Macaca mulatta: one gene and its partners. The protein of the gene in region 1 interacts with the protein of each later gene in a biochemical or structural test. Links are inferred from orthologs where the notes say so. Each region holds a gene or a part of one and is shown on either strand. Other genes may lie near its edges. The genes, in order: RELN, VLDLR and LRP8.

Evidence for each region.
Region 2: the proteins of RELN (region 1) and VLDLR form a complex in vitro, tested with the Homo sapiens proteins (6 studies listed by BioGRID). The link is inferred for Macaca mulatta from reciprocal best matches to the Homo sapiens genes RELN and VLDLR.
Region 3: the proteins of RELN (region 1) and LRP8 form a complex in vitro, tested with the Homo sapiens proteins (7 studies listed by BioGRID). The link is inferred for Macaca mulatta from reciprocal best matches to the Homo sapiens genes RELN and LRP8.

Annotation. Positions count from the first base shown.
Region 1 is NC_133408.1:143,155,931-143,163,638, reverse strand, and holds part of RELN (reelin), read left to right. Parts: intron 1-3,063; coding exon 3,064-3,204; intron 3,205-3,308; coding exon 3,309-3,486; intron 3,487-7,274; coding exon 7,275-7,359; intron 7,360-7,708. UniProt on the Homo sapiens protein: Extracellular matrix serine protease secreted by pioneer neurons that plays a role in layering of neurons in the cerebral cortex and cerebellum by coordinating cell positioning during neurodevelopment.
Region 2 is NC_133420.1:96,803,478-96,811,185, forward strand, and holds part of VLDLR (very low-density lipoprotein receptor), read right to left. Parts: intron 7,578-7,708; coding exon 7,359-7,577; intron 6,460-7,358; coding exon 6,341-6,459; intron 5,726-6,340; coding exon 5,586-5,725; intron 5,266-5,585; coding exon 5,124-5,265; intron 3,570-5,123; coding exon 3,423-3,569; intron 2,517-3,422; coding exon of another isoform or gene 2,433-2,516; intron 2,058-2,432; coding exon 1,977-2,057; intron 1,160-1,976; coding exon 990-1,159; intron 113-989; coding exon 77-112; 3' UTR 1-76. UniProt on the Homo sapiens protein: Multifunctional cell surface receptor that binds VLDL and transports it into cells by endocytosis and therefore plays an important role in energy metabolism.
Region 3 is NC_133406.1:187,355,819-187,363,526, reverse strand, and holds the end of LRP8 (low-density lipoprotein receptor-related protein 8), read right to left. Parts: intron 5,692-7,708; coding exon 5,519-5,691; intron 4,388-5,518; coding exon 4,211-4,387; intron 1,879-4,210; coding exon 1,840-1,878; 3' UTR 1,392-1,839; downstream 1-1,391. UniProt on the Homo sapiens protein: Cell surface receptor for Reelin (RELN) and apolipoprotein E (apoE)-containing ligands. LRP8 participates in transmitting the extracellular Reelin signal to intracellular signaling processes, by binding to DAB1 on its cytoplasmic tail.

The DNA of each region.
Region 1 (7,708 bases):
AACATAAAGGCTGCCCACCAGATTCCATTTTTAAACTGTTGTAAAAATAAGTCTCTGCCCATAAACCAGACTGATACTTATTCACACTAAGCAGTATGTGAAATTACCACATATTGGAGAGTACCCTTAGTTTTTTTTTTTTCATCTCAGTACCACAATATGAACAAAAGGTTGGTTCCTTTGGAATGCTCATATTATTTTGCATCTGTCTTCCCCTCCCCGGCATTTCAGATCACATTCAAGAGTTGTACTGACTTACAGCAGGCTCCCACTTTTGTGGCGCAGGCATTTGGATCATTGGAGGATGTTTCTAGGAACTAACGGGTACTATGGGGACTGCTCCCCCCAGGATCCTTTCCTCTCCCTTCCTGTGCTCTGTTCTGAATGGCAGGTTGCGTTTCCCAGCCTCCTACCTCTGCTGTCAGACACTGGCAGGAGAAAGGAGGGGAGAAATAAGGGATAGATCAGGGTGTTCCTCCACCTTCTTTCTGCCTCAGCTGCATCTTGGCCAACTTCTGTGGCTCTGGCTCCCCTGGGTGGCCCTCCAGGTGACCCTGGTCCCTGGGCACCAACAGCAACACTTCCTCCCTGTGTCCCTCTAGTCTTAGACTCATAGTAAGTGGCCTCCTGACTTTGCTAAACTCTGGTTTCCTCGCTGCTTCTACTGGCTTCTCTGATCTGCCACTTTCTATACATCCAATTCCTTGCATTAATTTCTTTCTGTGTTAAGTATTTATAGTGGTTTCTGTTTTCCTGGTGCAAACCTGATCCAGAAATGTACAACCAAGTGGCAAGGGAAAATTCAGGAAGCCAAAACATTTTAGTATTTAGCCTAAAGTAGTTTCCTATGACTGCTAAAGCTTTAAATAGTGCTTAGTTGTAGCTCATTTACTCATTTTTTTTAATTCAACAAACACTTATTGAATATCTACAGTGTTTTAAGCACTCTGGTACTAAATGAATAAGCTGATGCCGGGATCCAAATATATTAAAGTCATGCATCACTTAACGATGGTGATACATCTGAGAAATGCATTGTTAGGCAATTCCATTGTTGTGTGAACAGCATAGAGTGAACTTACATAAACCTTCATGGTTTAGCCCATTACACACCTATGCTGTATGATATAACCTATTGCTCCTCAGCTACAAAGCTGTACAGCATTTTACTATACTAAATACTGTAAGCAATTGTAACATAATTCCAAGTGTTTGTATCTCTAAACATAGGAAACGTACAATAAAAATATGGTATAAAAGATTAAAAACTGGTACACTTGTACAGGGTATTTCCCATAAACAGAGCTTACAGGACTGGAAGTTGCTCTGGGTGAGTCAGTGAGTGAGTGGTGAGTGAATGTGAAGGCCTAGAATATTACTGTACACTACTATAGACTTCATAAACACTATGCACTTAGGCTCCACTAAATTTTAAAAAAGAATATTTTCTTTCTTCAATAATAAATTCACCTTACTATAACTTTTTCATTTTATAAACTTTTCTTAAACTTTTAGACTCTTTTGTGATAATACTTAGCTTAAAACACAAGCACATTGTACATCTGTACAAAAATGTTTTCTTTCTATATTCTATAAGCTTTTAATATTTTGAGAACTTTAACTTTTAAAACTTCTTTCTTAAAAACTAAGACACAAAAACACACATTATTAGCCTTGGCATACACAAGGTCAGAATCATCAAGATGTCAATCGACAATAAGAATTTTTTTCAGCTCCATTATAATCTTATGAGACCACTGTCATAAACGCAGTCCATCATCGACAGAAACGTCGTTACGCGGCACATCACTGTATTTAGGATAACAAACCTCTAAGCAGCTATTTATGCTATGAGATGATACCAGAGGAAGTACTCAGAGATATTATCGAAACACAGGAGCATACTACCTAACTCATTGGGGGAGAACTGGAGGGAGCTTTCTAAAGGAGTTGATGTCTCAGCTGCCTCTGAGTAGGGCTTATCCAGGAGAAGAGGGGAGCGAGAGGGCACTTGTGCTGGCGTAAGCCAAAACAAAATCCAGGAAGCCAGAAAAAGCATGAGTGGATGGGAAAATTCAAGGGTTCAGTGTTGCCAGAATATAATTGCAAGGTGAGAAGTAGGAGGTCTGGAGCCAGGAAAGAGGGCAGACAATGGAGGAACCATGTATGTCGTCATAAGTAGTTTGGTCTTGACAGTGCACGTGTAGGGGAACCACTGACAGGTGTTAAACAGTGGTGCTGTGATGAGGTTTCCATGTTAAAGCCACCATGCCGACAGCTGTGTCACATCCACAGAGAGTTTGTGTAGGGGAAACAGTACTACTTAGAATGGTGCTGCTGAAATTCTACTTCAAGTAGACTGTGTTCCACATTCCACATCATAGACAAACACACTCCTATGCAAACTTTTCCTAAGTCAGGGGCTGTTACTGTTGTTTGGTAAGTCTGCATCTCTTTCTGGATAAAGCAGTCTTGTGACCCAAGATACACCAAATAACAGACTGCAAATAAATAGAAAATATGAGAATGCATCACATCATTCTAGACCTCAGCTTTAGAAACCCAGGACCTCGAGAACCAAAGTGGAGTGCAGAAGTATCAAGGGCTTCCATTTACTCTCAGAAACCATTCCGGGACAGTAAAATAGAGACCTCACTGCCAGAATTTTGTAAGACTCCAACTTTTCCTCATGTTTATCACCTTCAGTCCCTCCCAGTACTGAATAGCAATAAGAGTCTGAAAGCAAAAACTAAAATTCTGCATATATTTCAAAAACAAAACAAGTGGATATTTCAAAATAACTTTTCCATTTCACACATGTGTTTGTAGAATCTTACATGAGAAAAAAAAAGTGAAATATATAAATAACATGCTTTCTACTCTCCTGTTGATGAGTCAAGAGAAAACAGCATTTCCTACTACTTAGTAGGAAGATAAAGTGCGTCAAGGAAGAGACAACTGGACTCTGGAGGAGGGCACTTTAAAGAGAAAAGGGAATTAAAATAAATGTCCTTGTGCTTTCAAGGTTGCTCGTCAAACCAATGGTGTGTTTTCTTTGGTTAGTTCTCCCAGGACCCGGTTCAGATGGATTCAGGCCAACTACACTGTGGGGGCTGATTCCTGGGCGATTGATAATGTTGTACTGGCCTCAGGGTGCCCTTGGATGTGCTCAGGACGAGGGATTTGTGATGCTGGACACTGTGTGTAAGTTAATAAAACTGGCAGTTTCTTTCTTTTCTAACGCAAAAATAAATATGGCTCTTTGAACTCGTGACAAATGTCTTTTCTCCACTCCCTCTCTTTCTTAGGTGTGACCGGGGCTTTGGTGGACCCTATTGTGTTCCTGTTGTTCCTCTGCCCTCGATTCTTAAAGACGATTTCAATGGGAACTTGCATCCTGACCTTTGGCCTGAAGTGTATGGTGCAGAGAGGGGGAATCTGAATGGTGAAACCATCAAATCTGGAACATCTCTAATTTTTAAAGGGGTCAGATACAGATAAGATTCTCCTTCCCAACATTACTACTAACATTGTCGTCTTCAGTCACTGCTCAACACAAATGCATTTCTGAATCTCTTCAAATGACATAATATTTAATGCATAGTTATTGACTTTTAGCCCAAACCCTGTTTCCTCTTCTGAGTGCAGTCACTTTTTCATGATCACTTGGGCATAAACTTCTTCCTCTGCTTTGGTGATCAGACCTTCCTTACTTCCTGCTGGAATTATATACATAAATTTATATGTATATAGTTTTTAGAATGTAAATTTCCATAATCTAAGATTTAATGTTACTAAATATTTAACTTGGAATATTTTCTGAATGACTTTATGAACAGTCTGTAGTTTTTCTTTTCTCTTTTCTTCTGCCCATAGAACCATTTGGTGACTTTAAGAAAACCAAATATTTGGCCGGGCGCGGTGGCTCACGCCTGTAATCCCAGCACTTTGGGAGGCCAAGGCGGGCAGATCACGAGGTCAGGAGATGGAGACCATCCTGGCTAACATGGTGAAACCCCGTCTCCACTAAAAATACAAAAAATTTGCCGGGCGTGGTGACAGGCACTTGTAGTCCCAACTACTCGGGAGGCTGAGGCAGGAGAATGGCGTGAACCCGGGAGGTGGAGGTTACAGTGAGCCAACGTCACACCACTGCACTCTAGCCTGGGTGACAGAGTGAGACTCCGTCTCAAAAAAAAAAAAAAAAAAAGAAAAGAAAACCAAATATTTAAGTCAAATAAAATAGCATTTTCAAACATCATCTTGTATTTCAGCCTAGATGTTCGGTTAGAGAGATGTTAAGCAATTATGTGACACTCTGTGCTAAGCTGGCACATCTTCATATGTGAATACATGCCACACCCATCTCTCTCAGCATGGGGAAATTGGCTAACCTAGGTGTGCAAATGAAGTCTTTGACAAAAACCTGCATGGGTTTCTGTACAACCCTAATGATTAACATCTAACACCTAGAAAATTAGATACCCTGGAACCTTTTCAATTATAGTTAATAGATGCCAGTTATCATCCTTGCTTGAATCCAAATTCTTCTCAAGTTTTGGATGAGAAAGAAAGCAATGCATAGTGCCTGAGAAAGATTTACAAGTCCCTGAGAGTTTTGAGGGACTGAAGAAATTGAGGTAGAACATTTCAGAGTGGAGACTCCTGGTTTTGGGAGCAGCAGGATTTGTTTTGTTTTGTCTTAACTAAGATATTAGTTCTCGTTACCACTAGCTCACATCTGACCCATTTGAATCAGTTGACAAGACTAAAAAGCAGAAGTCCTATAACTTTTTGTGATTGACAGATCTTTATCTGATAAATCTTTAAGTGGTAGAATTAACCTAGTCTTTTGATCCTCTAAACAAGGAAGATGCATGGTGTTTTGTATTTTCCCTTTAGCCATCCAAATGCAAGAGCAGCCAAGCATTGTATGTGTTAGACGTATTATCTATCAGCTCTGCAAGATGTAGAGAGGACGCAGCATGGGCCATTCAGTAGATTGCAGTGTGACCTAGAAAGTCATTCTTTCGCGAAAAAGGATATGATAGTCTCTTTTTAATGTTTACAGATTCAGGAATACTATCTACTATTAAAATAGCTTGTTTGTTACGAAAGAATTTCTCACATTTAGCACAAATGGATCACTGAACCTGAAAAAGGATGAGAAAACACATCTGTGTGAACTAGAATGTATGTGGCAGCAGAGTTTGACAGTTCTGCTGTATAAATATCAATACAAAATGCTAACCTATAAACAAATATTGCAAATATAAAAGAAAGATACTTTCAGTTTACAAATCATGCCCACTTTCAATAAAATTGCTCCTACAAAATACAGAGTAAAATAGGTCCCTTTATGAGTGTCTTGTATTGACGCATGGGAACAATTTTATACTTGCATTCCATAATCAAGGGGAAAGAGTAATCCTATTTCTATATTTTGATGTTAGCAAGGGATATTTATTCCCTGAATCTGTCAACTATCTACCTCAAAGCTTTTTCATTACAATCTGAAGAAGGGACCTTTCCTCTGAACCTCAACTTCCACATAGCATTGAGCTCTAAAAGAATCCAACACTTAGCCAGGCACAGTGGTGCACATCTCTAGTCCCAGCTACAGTGGGGGCTGAGGTGGGAGGATCATTTGAGGCCAGGAGTTCGAGTCTCTAGTGAGCTATGATAACATTTATAAATAGCCACTGGGAAACAGAGCAAGACTCTGTCTCTTAAAAAAAAACAAAATCCAAGGCTTTATGCAAGTGTATAAGGAAGAGGGTAAAGACATTAAGACATGAAGAAATGAAGAAGACGCATGGGTTAGGGATCATGGACTGAGCAGAGCAGTGAATTACTAGGCATAAAAGAAAAAACAAAGACTAGAAATATGAGGCTTTTACATGGCAACCTGTTGTGGAAGTATGAATCTGTGCTTTGTGAAGTTATGAGATAGGTTAAATGCACTTGCGTTTTTATTACAACATCAAATAATTTTCAAATTCTACCTTTGGCATTATCTGGATATTTTTCTCCCCAAACCAAAAGATAGTTTAATAAACAAAACACTGGTATCTTATAAAGGATAAACATTTTAGAATATGACATATCTGGGTTCAAATCCTACCATCACCACTTACAAACTATGTAATCTTGAGGAAGTTACTTTCCCTCCCTGAGTTTTAGTTTCCTTATCTGCAACATGAGAATAACATTTTTCTCTTAGTAGTGCTAGGTGCTTTAAATGAGTAAAGTGTCTATCTTAGCACCCAGCATGTATAGGCACTCAACATATGGTTGCTATTGTGGAATTTGCTCTACTTACATTTTTTTTTCAGCTATTGAGCAATGTGATCTATAATATATATGATGAAGAAGAGGAAAAATGTTCTCTTTTAGCTAAAATTACATTTGGCATTTGTTAGTTGATGAGAAATCAGTTGATAGTGTCCACTTATTATCACACAGCCATGCATCTGTTAAGAGTCACGTCATTCAGAAGTTGCAGCTGAAAAACTAAAAGACCTGTTTGGACCTTAGGCTATTTGCATAGTGAAATTCTGTTTTACTGGCTGTCACTGCAATCCTATGTACCCATGAAGAAAAGAACCTTTCGAGTTGTCAATCCTAGGCAACCAGAAGTAGTTAAATTAGCAGAAAAAATTATGAAAGCTAATGTGGTCTCTTTCCTTGTTCATTGACTTCTCTGCATGAATGCTTACAGCCTGAGCATCAGGCCTTGTCTTAGTTATGCCTTATTTAACTTGACCCACTGAGGGGTGGTGGTGTGTCCACCTGAATGAGAGCCCCTGGGGCTATCAGAGTGAGCAAAGGAGTAGTAAGTTCCTAAGACTCCTTGGAACCCTGAGAAAGTTACCTATTAGTTCCCATCTTCCAGCGGGAGCACTTGGCACATATTCCATCTGCTTCCTCGTTACTCCTCTCATAACATGCTGTGATCAAAGGAGTCTATTTTTTTAAAAGGCCTGTAGATATGGAATGCTATCATTTTTGCACCACTTTTTAGAAGAGTCACAGAAAAGTATGATTTAGAGTTGAAACAATGAAACTGTGTCATTCAGGCACAGGATATGAAGCCATTTAGAGAGGGGAAACAAGGATCATCCCATATTTCCTTTTAAACTAGGCAAAATTTGCTTCTTAATCATGATATGTATTTATTACTCGGCTAATGCAAGTTAGGTGTATAAAATCAAAGGGACACAATTTTGCAAGTGAAAAAAAGAGTTGCTTAACATATATGTTTTTATTTTCAGGAAGGAATAAGGATGCTTATTTCAAGAGATCTGGATTGTGCAAATACGATGTATGTCCAGTTTTCACTTAGATTTATAGCAAAAGGTAAGTACGAATTCATTATTTTCCTTCAAGAGAATTCTCCCCTGTACAATTCCTTTTCCACAAAAAATCACAGATTTAAGGCCCATAAGTTTTGTTATATGGAAGAGCTAACATACATTGGTACACATAAATGTTTACAAGTATTTTTCTTTAAGTTTATTTTAATATAAGGGGGGGAATACTGATTTTAAATAATTTCATATAGCTATAATCCTATTAGTTCTATGGTAGTTAAATTTATCATCATGCCCCTGAGTCTTTCCACCACTACTTTCTAACTAAAAGAAATCTAAATTTTAAAATGTTTAACTTGTGAAAAATGTGGTTTTTCTTTTACAGATATGAATCC
Region 2 (7,708 bases), on another chromosome or scaffold:
CAGCTGCTGGCTCGGTTACTGTTCCGACGGGGGTATTATTTGTTTAGACCTCAAAGGTCAAGACTTGTCACAGAAGTCAAGCTAGATCATCATCTGTGCTTACAACTGATATCTGTGGAAAAGAAGAAGTATGGAATGAGCTTGGTGATCACTCACTGATGGCAACTCTCGTCTTTAAAATGGACCCTGCTTTTTAGTTGGTCATTCGAACACAGAGTGCTCAGAAGAAAAGTCAGATACAAAAGAGTACTGAATTGTATCATTCATGCATTTAATTTGAATTCAACTATACCTGCTTGGTAGTGAGATAAGATAGTGTGACTGATTCTGCCTCTTCTACTTAATGATCATAAGTCTTGGAGAAAAATGTGAAAAGCCATCTGTGTCAAGAATTGACCACTGTTCCATGTTTCACCAGAGCTTGAGAGGGGAGCAATCAATACTTGGTTTTTTCAGCCTGTTTCCTACGTGAAGGCCAAATACTCCACTTGGGTTTCATCTGAAGAACAAGTGAATGACTACTGCTAGAAGAAAAGCTAGCTATACTAAGTGTGCTAAGTGTGGTGGGATACTTTTTAAAGCAAAGTGTATCATAATTTTGGCTAAGTGAATCTTACTCAATACACTGACTTTAAGCCAACTCCCCTATATAGGATATGCTAATTTACTTTCAAATATCCAGTAGGCAATGGATTTAATAGTTCAGTAAAGAGCTACTTGGTTCATGCTAATATTTACATGTCATTTCTATAACCAAAAATATCTTAATATAGTGGTGACCTTAAGTTGACCCTCTTGCCATTTGGTGAGGGTTAGATGCTGATCAACTGACTGACTTATGTTCTAATAGGCTACACTGTCTAATGTCCAGGTGGCAGATGAAGTATTTGGTAACTCCATCATTCTAATGGCTCTCTTTCTAGCCTAGGTCTCCTTTCTGAAAAGTCTCACTTCAAGCCATGGTATATAAAGACACAAAGCTGACTTACTGCTGGGTATGTGTGTCCAACAGAAGCACTGTGTCTACCGATGTCTATGGAGAGGTCCTCTTCAGTGGTTTTCAAGTACACAGGATTGTCAAAGTTCATACTTTTCATGTTCTTGTGTTGCCAATTCCGCCACATCAAGTAGCCACCTACTGCTGCCATCACTAAGAGCACTGAAAAAAATCAGAGGGTAGCTAAGTGAGTTAAGTCTAATATTGGAACATACAAGAAAGGTAATAATGTTCAGGAATCCATAATAATTGACATTAGTAAAAATGTTATGTTTTATGGAGCTAGGATAACTAGAAGTTGGAATAAACATGGGCCAGGAGCTTGAAACAAGTTCAGTCCAGAGGTAGTTCTATGCACTGGAGCTGGGCTAGCCACATCCATCCAGGCAAGGGCAGGGTCCTCGGTCCCACTTTAGGCTCACCAAATTAAAATTGCAGAAGGTTCTGGAGAGCTATTCAGGTGTTCCTGGTGTGTTAGCTAAGCTTGGAATCTATTAATTTAGGACAAAGGCTTTTATAGCCAAGTCCTTGTAATTCGCATGTCTCATAATAGTTTGAGGTCCTTTTTCCATAGGTTTGAAAATTCTTAACTGCTTTTAATTTACCCTCAACAAGTCCTGTAACTCTTCAAGAAAGCATTTAAGCATTTGTGCATCTCCTCTGTATAAAACATTACACGCATTTCAAAGGGGGAACAGAAGAGCAGTTAAAGAGACTTATAAGGGGACAAGCCAGGCTAACAGTGCTGAAGTGGAAAGCATTAACTGTTGAACATTTATCATGCCAGTTACTGTGCCAACGGCACAAATGAAGAGAAAGATATGGGCCTTAATTTAGTGTACTATGTGGGGGAGAAAGTGAATATAATTCAGTGTCATAAGTGCTATGACAGCATAAAAGGGTAGCTCCAGATGAACAAAAAATATTCGTCTGGTATCTAAGTAGTTCTTGAACCCAGACTTGTAGGAAATCTACTTACAGAGAGGAAGAATGGCCCAAGCGGCAGAAGTCCCTTTTGGGGGAACACTGACCTCTGATACTGCTGTGGTCACATTGATCCCTACAGAGGAATAAAAGGAATCCGTTTAGAAGGGTCTGTATTAAGATTTAGAGATTTACCCATCAGGTAAGGAGCCAAAACCTTTGCATCCAACATTGATGTTCACTATCTACTACAATTGAACACCAGGAACAACTCTGGCCTAGAAGTATTTGAGTCACATGCTGTAGTAGCCATTTCACTGACAGTTCTCTACTAGAAACCTTAAAGATCAGTCAGGAAAAGATATGCAAATTTTAAGTCTTTGGTGTTTAAATATAGGTTACCAATTGGGGCAGAAATAGTAGTTAAAGGTTGCATTAATTATTTAAGCTATAGATACAAAGAGTGTGGCTGTTAGTGGAGATTAACAGTTTGCAGTACTGAACTCGATACCTCCAGGAACTAGTCCACTAGTTGGTGAAATTTCTGTTGTGTTCGTATCTTTTGTCTCACTGTAAGTCACAGTAGTTGCAGTACCTGAATTATAAAAACCAAGAACCTGGTTAATGCCAAGGTTCCAGAATGGCTAGCTCTTTTGTCCAGACAAGCCATGCAAAAGGTTATTTTAAAACCAGGTAAAAGAGACAAACCACTGCTGAACTAAGTTGTACAGCTGATGTGTCAAAATTGAAATAGCAATCTTCATGCAAAAAGAGATACCATGAAACTTTGGGAAGAACAGTCGGTATTTGGAATTTGACAATTCAAAATGATGGACAACCATATTTTATCCCTCTAAACAATATCCCATGTTCCTGGAAATTACAAGAAATGTTTTCAAGATGCTCTGGTATAGCAGGCATACCAGACTGTCTTGCAACTAATTTCTTGGTAAACTGAGCTAATCCCTGCCGTGACCTGACCATGAATCATGCTAGTAAAAACCTCACCAGCCTCACCATATGAGCTCCTTGGCCACACAAAGGAGTTTAATTTGCCACTTAATCAAAAGCTAAGAACAGAAGACTAAATGCAAATTCAGCTTAAGTGTTATTTTAGGTAAGCGTCACCCACGAGGCAATGAGGTTTTTGTAACCATGGCCTTCCTTAAGCATAGTTTCTGTCCTCCTCCTTTTGAGGAAAAATGTTAAGGCCTCGTTTAATTACCTGCAAGTCGGCTAGCTCCGTGCTGTTAAGGGACTAACTGGTACAAATTAGTATAAGGTATGTTGACACTATAGTCTCCTATAAACTCATTTAATGTTGACATGGGTTAAAGTCAGTTCTAAAGAAATGACATGATAACCCGGCATACAACAATAGCAGATATCTTCTCAAATCTATTCAAAGAATTAGCTAAAACAGAATTCTTAAAAATCCAAGCTTGTGTCTTATATTGCTTGTTGTATGTTCTACTTGTAGTTGAAACACAAAATGCCTTACTTTGGCAGTCTCGGCCATTTTCCTCTAGATTGAACCCATTGGGACAGGAACAGGTATATTTTGGAGAGTGATCATTAATCTGTGGTGCTGGCAGGCATAGGTATTCACATCCTCCATTCTCCATGTCTTCTTCACACCAATTTTTACCTAGTCAGGAAAAAATACCATTAAAATGGGTATTCCAATGCCTAGTATATATAAAGCCTTGTTCTACGTGTTGAAGACCTGAGTCCTTGCCCCCAAGAGCTTAGACTTGTTGACTCTGGCAATCCTTCAAGTGAGAGCAATATCAAGGAAGAATAAGTATAAAGGTACAGGCAGCATGCTCTAAGGACACCAAATAAGAGACCTCTTAGAGACAGACTGTAAAAGTTATGTCTTTAAGAGACAGATTTCAAAAGAGAAGGTGGGGAAGGGAGGTGAGGGACCAGGACTGGCTCTCACTATTGGCCCAAGGTTTAGTGTGAAGGCTCAGAGAAAGGAGACTAGGCATGTTCTCCTGGTTTTCTCTTTACTTGCTCCAACAAAGTGGAAGGAAACTCAGCCTTAGGAAGGTTTGAAGGTTTTATTTAGATAGAACCAGCCAAGTGTTTTCAGCAGGACATAATATAACCTGATGTGTTTGAGACTCTACACAATCCTATATCAGGTGTGTCACAGGGAAAAAGTAGGTGTTACAAGTTGAATTGTGTTCCTTCCTAAAATTCATATATTGAAGTCCTAGTACCTCAGAATGTGATCTGATTTGGAGATATTGAAGATAGGATATTTACAGAGGTAATCAAGTTAAAATGAGGTCATTAAGCTGGGCTCTAATTCAATATGACTGGTATTACAGTTCACGCCTTTAATTCTAGCTCTTTGGGAGGCCAAGGCAGGCAGATTACATGGGGTCAGGAGTTTGAGACCAGTCTGGCCAACATAGTGAACATAGTGAAACCCCATCTCTACTAAAAATACAAAATGTAGCTGAGCATGGTGGCTCACTCCTGTAGTCCCAGCAACTCGGGAGGCTGAAGCAAGAGAATTGCTTGAACACAGGAGGTGGAGGTTGCAGTGAGCTGAGATTGTGCCACTGCACTCCAGCCTGGGCGACAGAGCGAGACTCCGTCTCAAAAAAAAAAAAAAAAAAAACCTGGACAAAAGCATATACAGAGGGAAGATGATGTGAAGAGACACAGGCGGAAGCACTGTCAACAGACCACGAAAAGAGGCCCTGAACAGATCCTTCCCTCACAGCCCTCAAGAGGCACCAACCCTGCTGGCACCTTGATTTCAGACTTCTGGCCTCCAGAATTTTGAGACAATAAACTTCCGTGGTTTAAGGCAGTTTGTGGCACTTCATTGCAAAAATCCTAGCAAACTAACAGTAGAGGAAGTTTGTAGCACAAAAGCTACTTTGGAGGCTACTGCAATAGTCTTGGCAAGAGGGGCTGAAGGCCAAGGGGACATGGATGAAGCAGAAATAAAAGATCTGACACTGAGGCTTGGGAGGGAAGCTAGGAGCTGAAGCTGAGAAGCCATTTCTCTAAGGCAGCAGAAATAAAAAAATAACGTGTGAACTGTTTGAGGTAGGGTACGGGAGGGCAAACGTTCCTTTTAAAGAAAGGGGAGTTGCCAAGAGCCACTGACATCCAGTAGGTTCTGTGTCATGCTGCTTCCCTTAAAGTGGTTATTAAGGAGTGTGCTTCTCCACGGTACCTGATGGCTGTACAAGTTCATGATAGACAATGATGTCTTGGGCATCATTAAGGTTGTTGACTAGAGTGGCTAGCTCTGATCCAGTGAATTTATTGGCACCATAGACTGCTTCGTTTTCCCCATCTATCCAGTAGACACGATCCTACAACAGAACCCCACAATTAGCATGTACATCCAGGATTAACACAAGTCCATTTCTAAGGTCATCATTTACTTCTCATTTAATGGACTAAGTTTATTGAATGCTGAGCTGGGACACTAGATATAAAACTGTAAAAGAATCAAGTTTAGGTTTGAAGTGCTTCTGGGAATTAGTGTCTAATTTGTACCAGGTTTTAAGTGAAAGCAGTTTCTCAAGCCATGCTCAGCTGCTCTTCCCTCCTCCCGCCATGTCTGTCATTTCTCCTCAAAGTGATATAATAGCTGAAAGGTATACACACTTTGATGTGAGACACATCTTACCTCAAATATTGTTAGTGCAAGAGGGTGAGCTAGGAACTCCAGAGACTTTAGTACTATCCTACGATCTTGGCCATTCAAGTCCACGCTGGATAACATGTGCAACTTAGAATCAAGCCAATAGAGGCGGCTTTTTATAAGGTCTAGGTAGGAAAAGAATTGTCATTACATGACAAGCCACTACTACTCTGGCTTCCATTTAAAACATCTAATGGATTAATATTCTACTTTTATGGTTCTTTCCCCAGCAGGGTTTCTTAACAGGGGTCACACAAACCTGGCAAAGCAGCATGCAGAATCTGTATCCACATTCATTTTTGGGGACTAACGGGGTACCTGAGATTCTCAAAGTAAATGACTTAAGAAATACTACTCACATTACAGAAAATATTAAAAGAGGCTGGCATTTTGTTGTTCTCCTCCACAAAGCCAGAAGAAAACTGTTAAAAGCCTGCAATTCAGGAAATGCTAAGGCATTCATGCCCAGAATATTTAGTATGAGTGCACCCAAGGCCCAACCTTCACTGAGTTCGTGCCACATATTAGGCCCAGCTGGACAACAGGTCAGTAGTTACGGAATGTGTAATTTGCTAATCCACCATTTTACTTGTGTTGTTCAGTTACTCCCATTGAAAATTCCTGCTAGAATTTAGGCGGAAGCAGAAGAGTCATCTGCTAGTCCAGAATTCACCATGGAGATAAATGGAAACACTATGAAGATAGTTGAGTGGGTGATCGAGAAGGAAGACCATACATACCAAGTGTAATTCCGTTAGGCCACTGGATATCCACTGTCACCAGTGGACGTCTATCAAATCCATTCATTCCTGCTTTTTCTATTTTAGCTGGTTCACCCCAGTCTGACCAGTAAACAAAACTGTGAAGAATTAAATGAGAAATAAGCCTCAGTGGTTTAGAAGGAATAAAGTTGTAGCCTGAAACTAAAATTTAAGCAGAAAAGGGATTCTCTAGTGACAAATAGTAACACTTAAGGGTCTAAATTTTGTTCTAGGTAAATAAATTTGAATATTAAGAATCTGCAAGTTCATTATTAACTGTAATAATCTATGTTTGTCTGACATCTAAATTTCGGCCCAAAGTCACAAGGTTATGTTTCCTTTTTAAAAGGTTACTTCTTTCAGAGGAGTGAAAGACAAATATCCTTTAAATTTCATAGCAGGGGTTGGCTGATTGACTTCTAATGAGGCTGCAGGGGGAGCAGTTGTGATGACTACAGCCTTAGTCAATTTCCTAAGCTGCTCTTCTATGTTACTTAGTGGTAATTTAGGGAACCCCCTTAGTGAAATGTTTCTATAAAGGTCTGTTTATTTCTGCTGGACTTTCAGACAACTTGCACACTTAGATGCAATGTCGTTACCCAAATCCCCACAATTCAGACTGTCATTTAGGTTTGATCATCCAGAGCTAGCCCAGCAAAGTGTTCAGTCAAAAACTAAAAAATCACTTGCATGGAAACTGGGTGGGCAAAAGGGTTCAGATACAGCTTTTGGTACACACATCAAATCAGGAATGTTAATTCATTAATATCAACCAGCAATCACTCATACGAGTCAGACAGGAGGACCTGTCATACAGATAAGGCCGTCCTAGGGTCATTCAACTGGGGCAAAACTGATATCTTGAATTAGAATTCTAATTCTTTGTTGTAGAGGGCTGATAAACCTTGAGATTTTAGTACTAATTCAGGTATGAGAAAGCTCCTGACCTACACACATACCATTCAAAAAGCTATGTGATAGAAAACGGTGTACAAACCCAGACAGTGGGTCCACAGCTATGGAGGCAGGCTCTCGCAAATCAGAGTTAAACAGGAACTTCCTCTTGGTTCCATCTAGGGTAGCTACTGAAATAGTCTTAGAAGCCGCATCAGTCCAGTAGATGGTCTTGTACACCCAATCAACAGCAATGGCTGCAGGATTATAGACATTGTCGATCATTTTAACATGTCTACCAACCTTGTCATCAATTGAGGCACTGAAACAGAATAGGTCACAAGAAATTTAAGAGTTTGACACAATTAGAGCTTGGAGAAGGGACTTTTTGCTTACAAAATGGTCAATGACTTCATTCAGAAAGAAATCTAGTAACACCACAGCTCACCACTC
Region 3 (7,708 bases), on another chromosome or scaffold:
ATCCAACCTTCATTGAGTTGGGGGCATCTGGCAGGTAGGGATGGGAAGGCATTTGGTTAAGTGTGTCAAGTTCCAGGTATGATGAGATTAGATGCATCTCCTCTGCTCCTACTTAAGTCAAACACTTCCATGTTGCACCTTGTCCCTGGTTGTCTACTGGGAGTAAGTGGCAGAACAACAGAGTTAAGAAACTCAAACTCTTTCTCTTTGGATGGGAAAGCCAGTGGGGACTGAATCCTTCTGGGACTATAGGATTATGTTTCCAATGGGAGACCCCACAAATAGAAAAGAGCACTTCTCCCTTCCTCCCGCAAGGCCAGGAAAAGCAAAGAAGGTGTCTATAATGAAGAGCATCTATACATATACCCAGAGTTTTTCCTTTTATTTACAAAGCAGTAAACCAAATTCCTGTGTGAATATAAATATCCAATATACTATAATATTGTGTATGCCATTTCCCCCCTCAAATATGACTTCAGTTTTGGCCAGTTGTTCTGACTTAAGCCAAAAATTAGTTTCATCTATATGAACATATGATGGTAAGTAACCTATTTATTACTTTAAAATGTTTCCCCACATAAAGGAAATGGTAGAGAGTAAGGGGAAAAGAGAAATAAGAGATGTAATAAAACCTATTCCACCATCTTTATTCTCAACCACAGCATGTCCCAGATGTTCAGAGCCTGGGCCAGTCTCTATAGTAAACTTGGGCTGTTCTGGAAATGTCTCCACTTAGCTCTGTAAGGATGGCACCCTTCAGGGTGCTTCAGAGGAAACTTACTGAATTCAACCCAAGTGTCCTGAAAGAAATTGAAGAAGTTACTCAAAGAGCTGAACTTTAAAACAAGGAGTAGCTGAGGGTGAGGCATATTCTATCTTGAGTTTCTGAGCACTCTGGTACCATGGAATATCTCTACACTGACCTTTGCCAAAGCCAAGAAAGCCCCAGTAGGAGTCACAGCAGCCATGTGTGAGCTGAAAGGCTTTTCCTGACTTCCTGGGGTCGCAGGAATGGCCAGAGGTGAAAAGATTGCCTTTTTTACTACATAATTGCACAAACCATGGTATCTGTTTTCTGAGCCAGATTTCCAAAGGCTTTTCTGAAAACTACAAGATATACCCCTTGTGGACTGTGTTAAAATAAATTTATCTTTATGTATTTGAACAGTAGCCATAGATGTGCCTCTTCTCTACAGATTTTTCTGTCACACACATACACATATAAACACACACATATACACACACAGAGTCTGCGTGGTGGGCCAAACATGCCAAAAATAAATACTCTCGCTTCTCTAAATTATTTATAGAACTCATCTGATTTTTAAAATATGTTAATAAATAATCTAAATGGGGGAGGGAGTTGAAGTTTTTTTTTTTTTTTTTTTTACTTATGTTGATGGATAGCCACAAAGCATAATCATCTTATTTACAAAAAACAAACCCCCCAAAACCTAAAAAAGTCCCCCCAGCAACCAAACATCTTCTGTAAATATATTTTTTAAATGATGAGTAAGGTACTGTGCCATTGGCCCCCATTTGGTTATGTGCATCATGTTAGTCAGCAGTAGCCATTCCACGAATTCCTCATGGGTAGTGCAACCAGTTAAAAAGTGTATAAAACATTATACATAGAAAAACTCTCACATCCTTTGGATGTTTGCAGTTCATCATAACTTTGTGGTTACCTTTCCGCAACATAAATTTAAAAAAAAAATCACACACACACATACACTCACACAGACCCATATATAGAAACCCATTCATCCAGTCATACACCATCCAGAGTGTAGTGGGTGGGACTGAATTCCATGAGGCACGAAGTGGGTGATCCCATCCTCAGGGTAGTCCATCATCTTCAAGGCTTAATGCCACTCGCTGGGGAGACAAACCAAAGAATTCATCGTTAGATCCATAAGAGTTACTATTTATTATTGACAAAGTACAGACTTATGTTACTTTAATAGGTATTAGCTCACATAATCTTCAAACTCTCCCAAGAGACAAGATTTATCCTATTTATTTTACAGATGAGAAAACAAACTCAATGAGCTTAAGTAGGGTTTGTTCTGGATCACATAGCAAGTGGCTGAACTAAAATTTGATCCCAGGTCTGTATGAATCCAAAGCTGTAGATTTTTTCATCATTCTGTTTTGTATCTTTGTAAAGAAGAGTTGCTCAGATCTAAATTTTCTCAATCCTCCCTTATAGGATTTTAGGTTTGGTCAATTTCAGTGGGTTAGCTTTGGCAAATGTTAAATTTCAGGCTATGGGGTTACTTGTCTCTAGCATGCTAATCACATTTAGGAAGGTAATATACTGCACCTTCCCAACAGATTAAACAGAATCGGGAGGCAATGCAGGTTAATTAAATTCCATCCCTCTCTCCCTCACCCCTACTTTCTAGTCATTAGGTAGATGCTAGACTCCTGTCTGCCAAAAATGGCTGACCATGAGATGGTGAGCCCACTAACCCCTGAGCCAGTCTATTCCATTGTGGACAACAGATTTAAATTCTTTTCTATATTAATGTGAAATTTGTTTGTTTATATCTTCTGACATTCCCTGATTCCATCTCTCAGACTCAGAGACAGTTCTACATAGGACAACCCTTGAAATTTATAGATGGTGTTTGAATTCCCTTCCCTTCATTCTGAGTGTTTTCTTCTCCAGGATAACATCTAACTTTCCCCATCTAGTCCTGATGTAATCTTGTTTGCCTCTTTTCCATTTCCCAGATACCCTCCTTTGGAAAGACCCTCCCCAGCTTCAGTATTTTTCTTATAGTTATGTGAATTCGGGCCCGCCAGTTTACTTCTCTGAGACTTAGTTTTATCATCTATCAAATGGGAATAGTAATAGGACCTACCTCACAGGGTTGTTGAGGAATCAAATGAGATAATGCATGGAGAGTGTTTAATGTAGTACCTAACAACACATAGGGCCCAGAGTATCCTAGGTCAACGTAACCAGCATAAAATAGAATCAGACTAGTATCTCCCATCTCTGGACATTCTACATATGATAAAAAGTAACTCTACTGCCTTTCAAGTCATCTTTGGGTTATCTGTAGTTTTTTAATGAATGCAATGGCCATCCTCCACTAGTGTAGATAATTGAGACTACCTTATTCTAGTCCAGCCACCCTCCCACTCTCTCCAAGACAGATCTCTAGGCCAAAGATAGGCCCCAGTAGTGATGGTACAGTTACCGGAGAAATCGACAGAGGAGAGACAGGTTGTTGAGAATATTGATTTCCAGAGCTTCAAGGCTATTTACCTCATGATATAAAGGAAAGAGCATGGGCTTTTGTGTATATACAGACTGGAGTTTGAATTCTGGTTCTGCCACTTCCTGGCTATGACCTTAGGCAAGTTATTCAATTTCTATGAGTCTCAGTTTCCTCATCTGCAAAATGGGGCTAATAATATTGGCTTGATAAGGTTATTTTGAAGATTAAATGAGATAATGTATGTAAAACACTGAGAACAGTGTCTGACACACAGTAGGTGCTCAATAAATGTTGATTTCCTCATTCTACTACTCTATTTCTCTGCAACTGGCAGAAGCTTATTACTCAGTCCTTAGACTCATCAGGAGTAACTCCCCCTGAGTCATTTCTTTCTCTGGAAATAATGTCATTTTACATGTGCAGAGTGCTTTGTAAGTCACAAAGTGCTCTCACATGTGCTATCTCACTTGTACTTTATAAACTCAGGAGGCAGGTAGAATGCGGGTTATTATTCTCATTTTACAAATAACAGTGAGCAGAAAGAAGTGACTGAGATCACAGGGCTGTGGAAGGATGGAACTGGGAATTTTCTTACTCCAAGTTCAGTGCTTCTTCCACTGTGCCCCCTCTGATCTTCAAAAATTGGTCAAGCAACTATTTTTTTTGGACTGGCCGAGGTTAAGGATCCTCAAGGCCGTCTGCTAACCCTCCTCATTTGCTCCATCTCATTTCCCATGTCTCCCCTTCATGAACAATTTGCCTCAGCAGCAATTCTGTCTGCTCTGCTCCAAACTTGATCGCTTTCTTCCACATGCCATTCATTGGTCTGTGACTAACCCATTTTTCTTCTTTGCTCCAACACCCAGCTTACAATTTGCAGCCTTCCCAAACCAGAAAGCCTTCTAGGATTGGCTGCGCCTGCCTTGGTTCATGCCCTCACTCACCAGCCCCTCAGACTTAGAGTGGCACTGCCCTACCTTGGACTTGACGACAGGCAGCTCGGAAAGAGGGTTCCTCGGGAGTTGGTGCAGCTGTGACCTTGGTTCCCCCGGCAAGACAAAAAGCTCCTTGAGGGCAGGGGCTGGGTCTTCCAGTTCTCTGGTCTCCCCAAGACAGGGCTCTGCCCACAGTGGGCGATCAAAGCTGCTGATTGCCTGACAGGGGGATGGCACTGTGGATGACCTCTGAGGTCACACTCAGCCCCCTGACTCTGCTGTATAACAGTGACACCTGTTGTGCCACTTCATGGTCCTCATTCCCCCAAAAAGCCATGCTGTGTTGTGCCTTTAAGCCTTTGCACATGCCTCTATCTGGAATGCCATTTCCCTCCTTCTCTCCTGGGAAAACTGCTATTAATCTTTCAAGGACATAGTCCATCTGTCACCTTCTCTGTGAGGCATTCCTTGCCTGATTCTCCAGACAGAATTCATAGCTCCCTTGTTGATGTTTCCATAGCATCTATTCAACAAATATTTGTTGGGAGTCAGCCATACTGTGCTAGACATCAGGAAAACAGATTAATCAGACAGTTCTGCCCTCAAGGATCTTAGGGTTTAGTGAGGAGACCACTGAGTAAAAGACAAGTGGACTACAGTGTGATAGGGGCTGTGAGGCAGAGAGGCCCGGAGGACTGTGGGAGAACAAAGCAAGCCAAGGATAGCTTTCTAGAAGAGGGGACTCCTGAGCTTCCACCACGGCACTCAGCACACAATTATACCACTGTATGTTAGTATCTCTAACTCCCTACCAACTTCTTGGGAGCAAGCACATTCCTTATTGACTTTTGAATACTTGATATCTAATGTGCTTGGCACATAACTGGCATACAGTATTGAAATGAATACATTTGAATTAAATGGCCACAGTTACCCTTCCAGGCCAAAGGTTCTGAAAATTTACTGAGCAGAAAGAGACATTTGGCTTTTTTACTGCCAGGAAAAGCCTCTAGGTACAAGGTGGTCCTGATACCTTTTTACCTTAACCACCTACCCCAGCATTTCTGTGTTCCCCAGGGCCTAGAACAGTGCCTGATACATGGTACGTTCTCGATAAATGTTTCAGGAAGGGAGGAAGGAGGAAGGGAAGGAGGGAGGAAAGGAAGGAAAGAAGGAAAGAAAAAAGACAGGGAGGGAGGGAAGGACAGAAGGAAGGAAGGGAGGGAGGGAAGGACAGAAGGAAGGAAGGGAGGGAAGAAAGGATGGGAAGGAAGAAAGGATGGGAGGAGAAGAAAGGATGGAAGGGAAGATGGTCAGAAGGTAGGAATTCTCCCAGTGAGAAATACTTACTGCAGGATAGACATGGCCAATCTGAGCAGTCCTCCCTATATGGAGCTCATCTTCATCTTCTTCTTCTGTTGTTTTCCTGTAGACTGGGTTGTCAAAATTCATGCTTTTGGTGTTCTTCCGCTTCCAGTTTCTCCAGATCAGGTATCCACTCATGCACAGCAGGGCTATCACCACTGGAGGAAGGACACAGGAGATTGGACCTCCAGCAGGCTCCAGCCCACTGCTCAGACATCAGTGCAAGGCTTGTCACCACTCCACCTTTCCTGCCCCTTGCTCCTCAGGCTCTGTTTCTGCATGTTCTTTTTCTGCTGTTTGAAAGCCCATCTCTCATCCCTTCTTTCCCTTATTAACTATTCATCCTTAAAGATCCTGCTCAAATGTGAAGTCTTCCCCAACTGTGGGCAGAGGCAGTTGCTCTCTCATGTGTGCTCCCAGATCACACACAGTATCTTACTTTATGTATCTGTACTCCCAACTAGATAGCTCTTTCAAGGCAGGGACTGTGTCTTTTTTTTTTTTTTTTTTTTTTTAACTCTTTATGCCCAGTTCCTAGCACTGAGTAGGTGCCTAGTAACGTGCTGAATGAATGAGTGAATTTTACCACACCTTTGCCCTAATGCTGCTGCTTCCCTACATTTCTCTAAGAAAACCATTCTCTCCCAAAACTGGGGGGTGGAGAGTGGGATGGGGCCAGGTACAGTGTTTATTTCCAAAGGTGAGGCTCCACCTGAAGAAGAACATCTCTAGAAGGAGACACAGAGGGCAACATAAGCTGTGATTTAGAATAAATGAATATGTTAATGATTAAAGGAGGAAGCTCTGTCCAACAGAGCTGGGTAAAAATGGAGCAAGTAGCTCGTAAGGTGGTTAGCAGTCACTCAGTATCCCAATGGAGGCTGAATGATCACCTATCTAGGATGGTATAGAAGGGGTTTCCGTTTTAGTAAGATTACAATAATTGATATGCACTAAAGACAGAAACAAGGCAGTTACCACTGGTAATATTTATTGTCCTAGAGATCTAGCTATGCAGTAAGGCCAGAAAAACATTTAAGAGTATAAATATGGGAAAGGAGGCCAGGTACAGTGGCTCACACCTGTAATCCCAACACTTTGGGAGGCTGAGGCAGGCAGATTACTTGAGGCCAGGAGTTCGAGACAGGCCTGGCCAACATGGTGAAAACCCATTTCTACAAAAAATATAAAGTAGCTGGGCATGGTGGTGGGCACCTGTAGTCCCAGCTACTCAGAAGGCTGAGGTGGGAGGATTGCTTGAACCTGGGAGGTCGAGACTGCAGTGAGCCACAGTAGTGCCACTGCACTCCAGCCTGGGCAACAGAGGGAGACCTTATCTCAAAATAAATAAATAAATAAATAAATAAATAAATAAGAGAAAGGAGGAAACCAAACTCTTATTAACAGCTATTTATATTTTTAGGAACTCTGAACCTGGTGAAAAACTATCAGAAATAATCTTAGTTAATCAAGAATCAACATAAAAGATCATTACCTTCTTTTTTAATCAGCAAGAACCAATTGGAAAATGTAACGAAGGCCAGACATGGTGGCTTACACATGTAATACCAACATTTTGGGAGGCTGAGGCAGGAAGATTGCTTGAACCCAGGAGTTCAAGACCAGCCTGGGCAAGATGGTGAGTGAGCCCTGGTCTTTACAAAAAAAAATAATTTAAAAAATTAGCCAGGTGTGGTGGTGCATGCCTGTAGTCCCAGCTACTCTAGTCCCAGCTACTCGGGATGCTGATGTGGGAGAATCCCTTGAGCCCAGGAGTTCAAGGATGCAGTGAACTGTGATTGCACCATTGCACTCCAGCCTGGGCAAGAGTGCAAGATCTTCTTGTCTCTTAAAAAAAAAAAAAAAAAAAAAAAAAAAAAAAAAGAGAAAGAACATGTAATGGAATAAAAATAAATTCATAATAGCCCATCAAAAAGCTATAAAATATAAAATACCTAGGAAAATCTAAGAAGAAATATGCAAGTCCTATGTGATCTATAAAGTTCTGCTGAAGGACATAAAAGAAGACTGAAATAAATAGATATGCCACATTTCTGGCTGGGAAGCTTTAATATAATAAAAATGTATATTCTCCTCACATAAACTCATATATCTAAAGCAATCTTGATAATTTCACCAAAATTTTTATAGAATTGATAAGGTTATTCTGAAGTT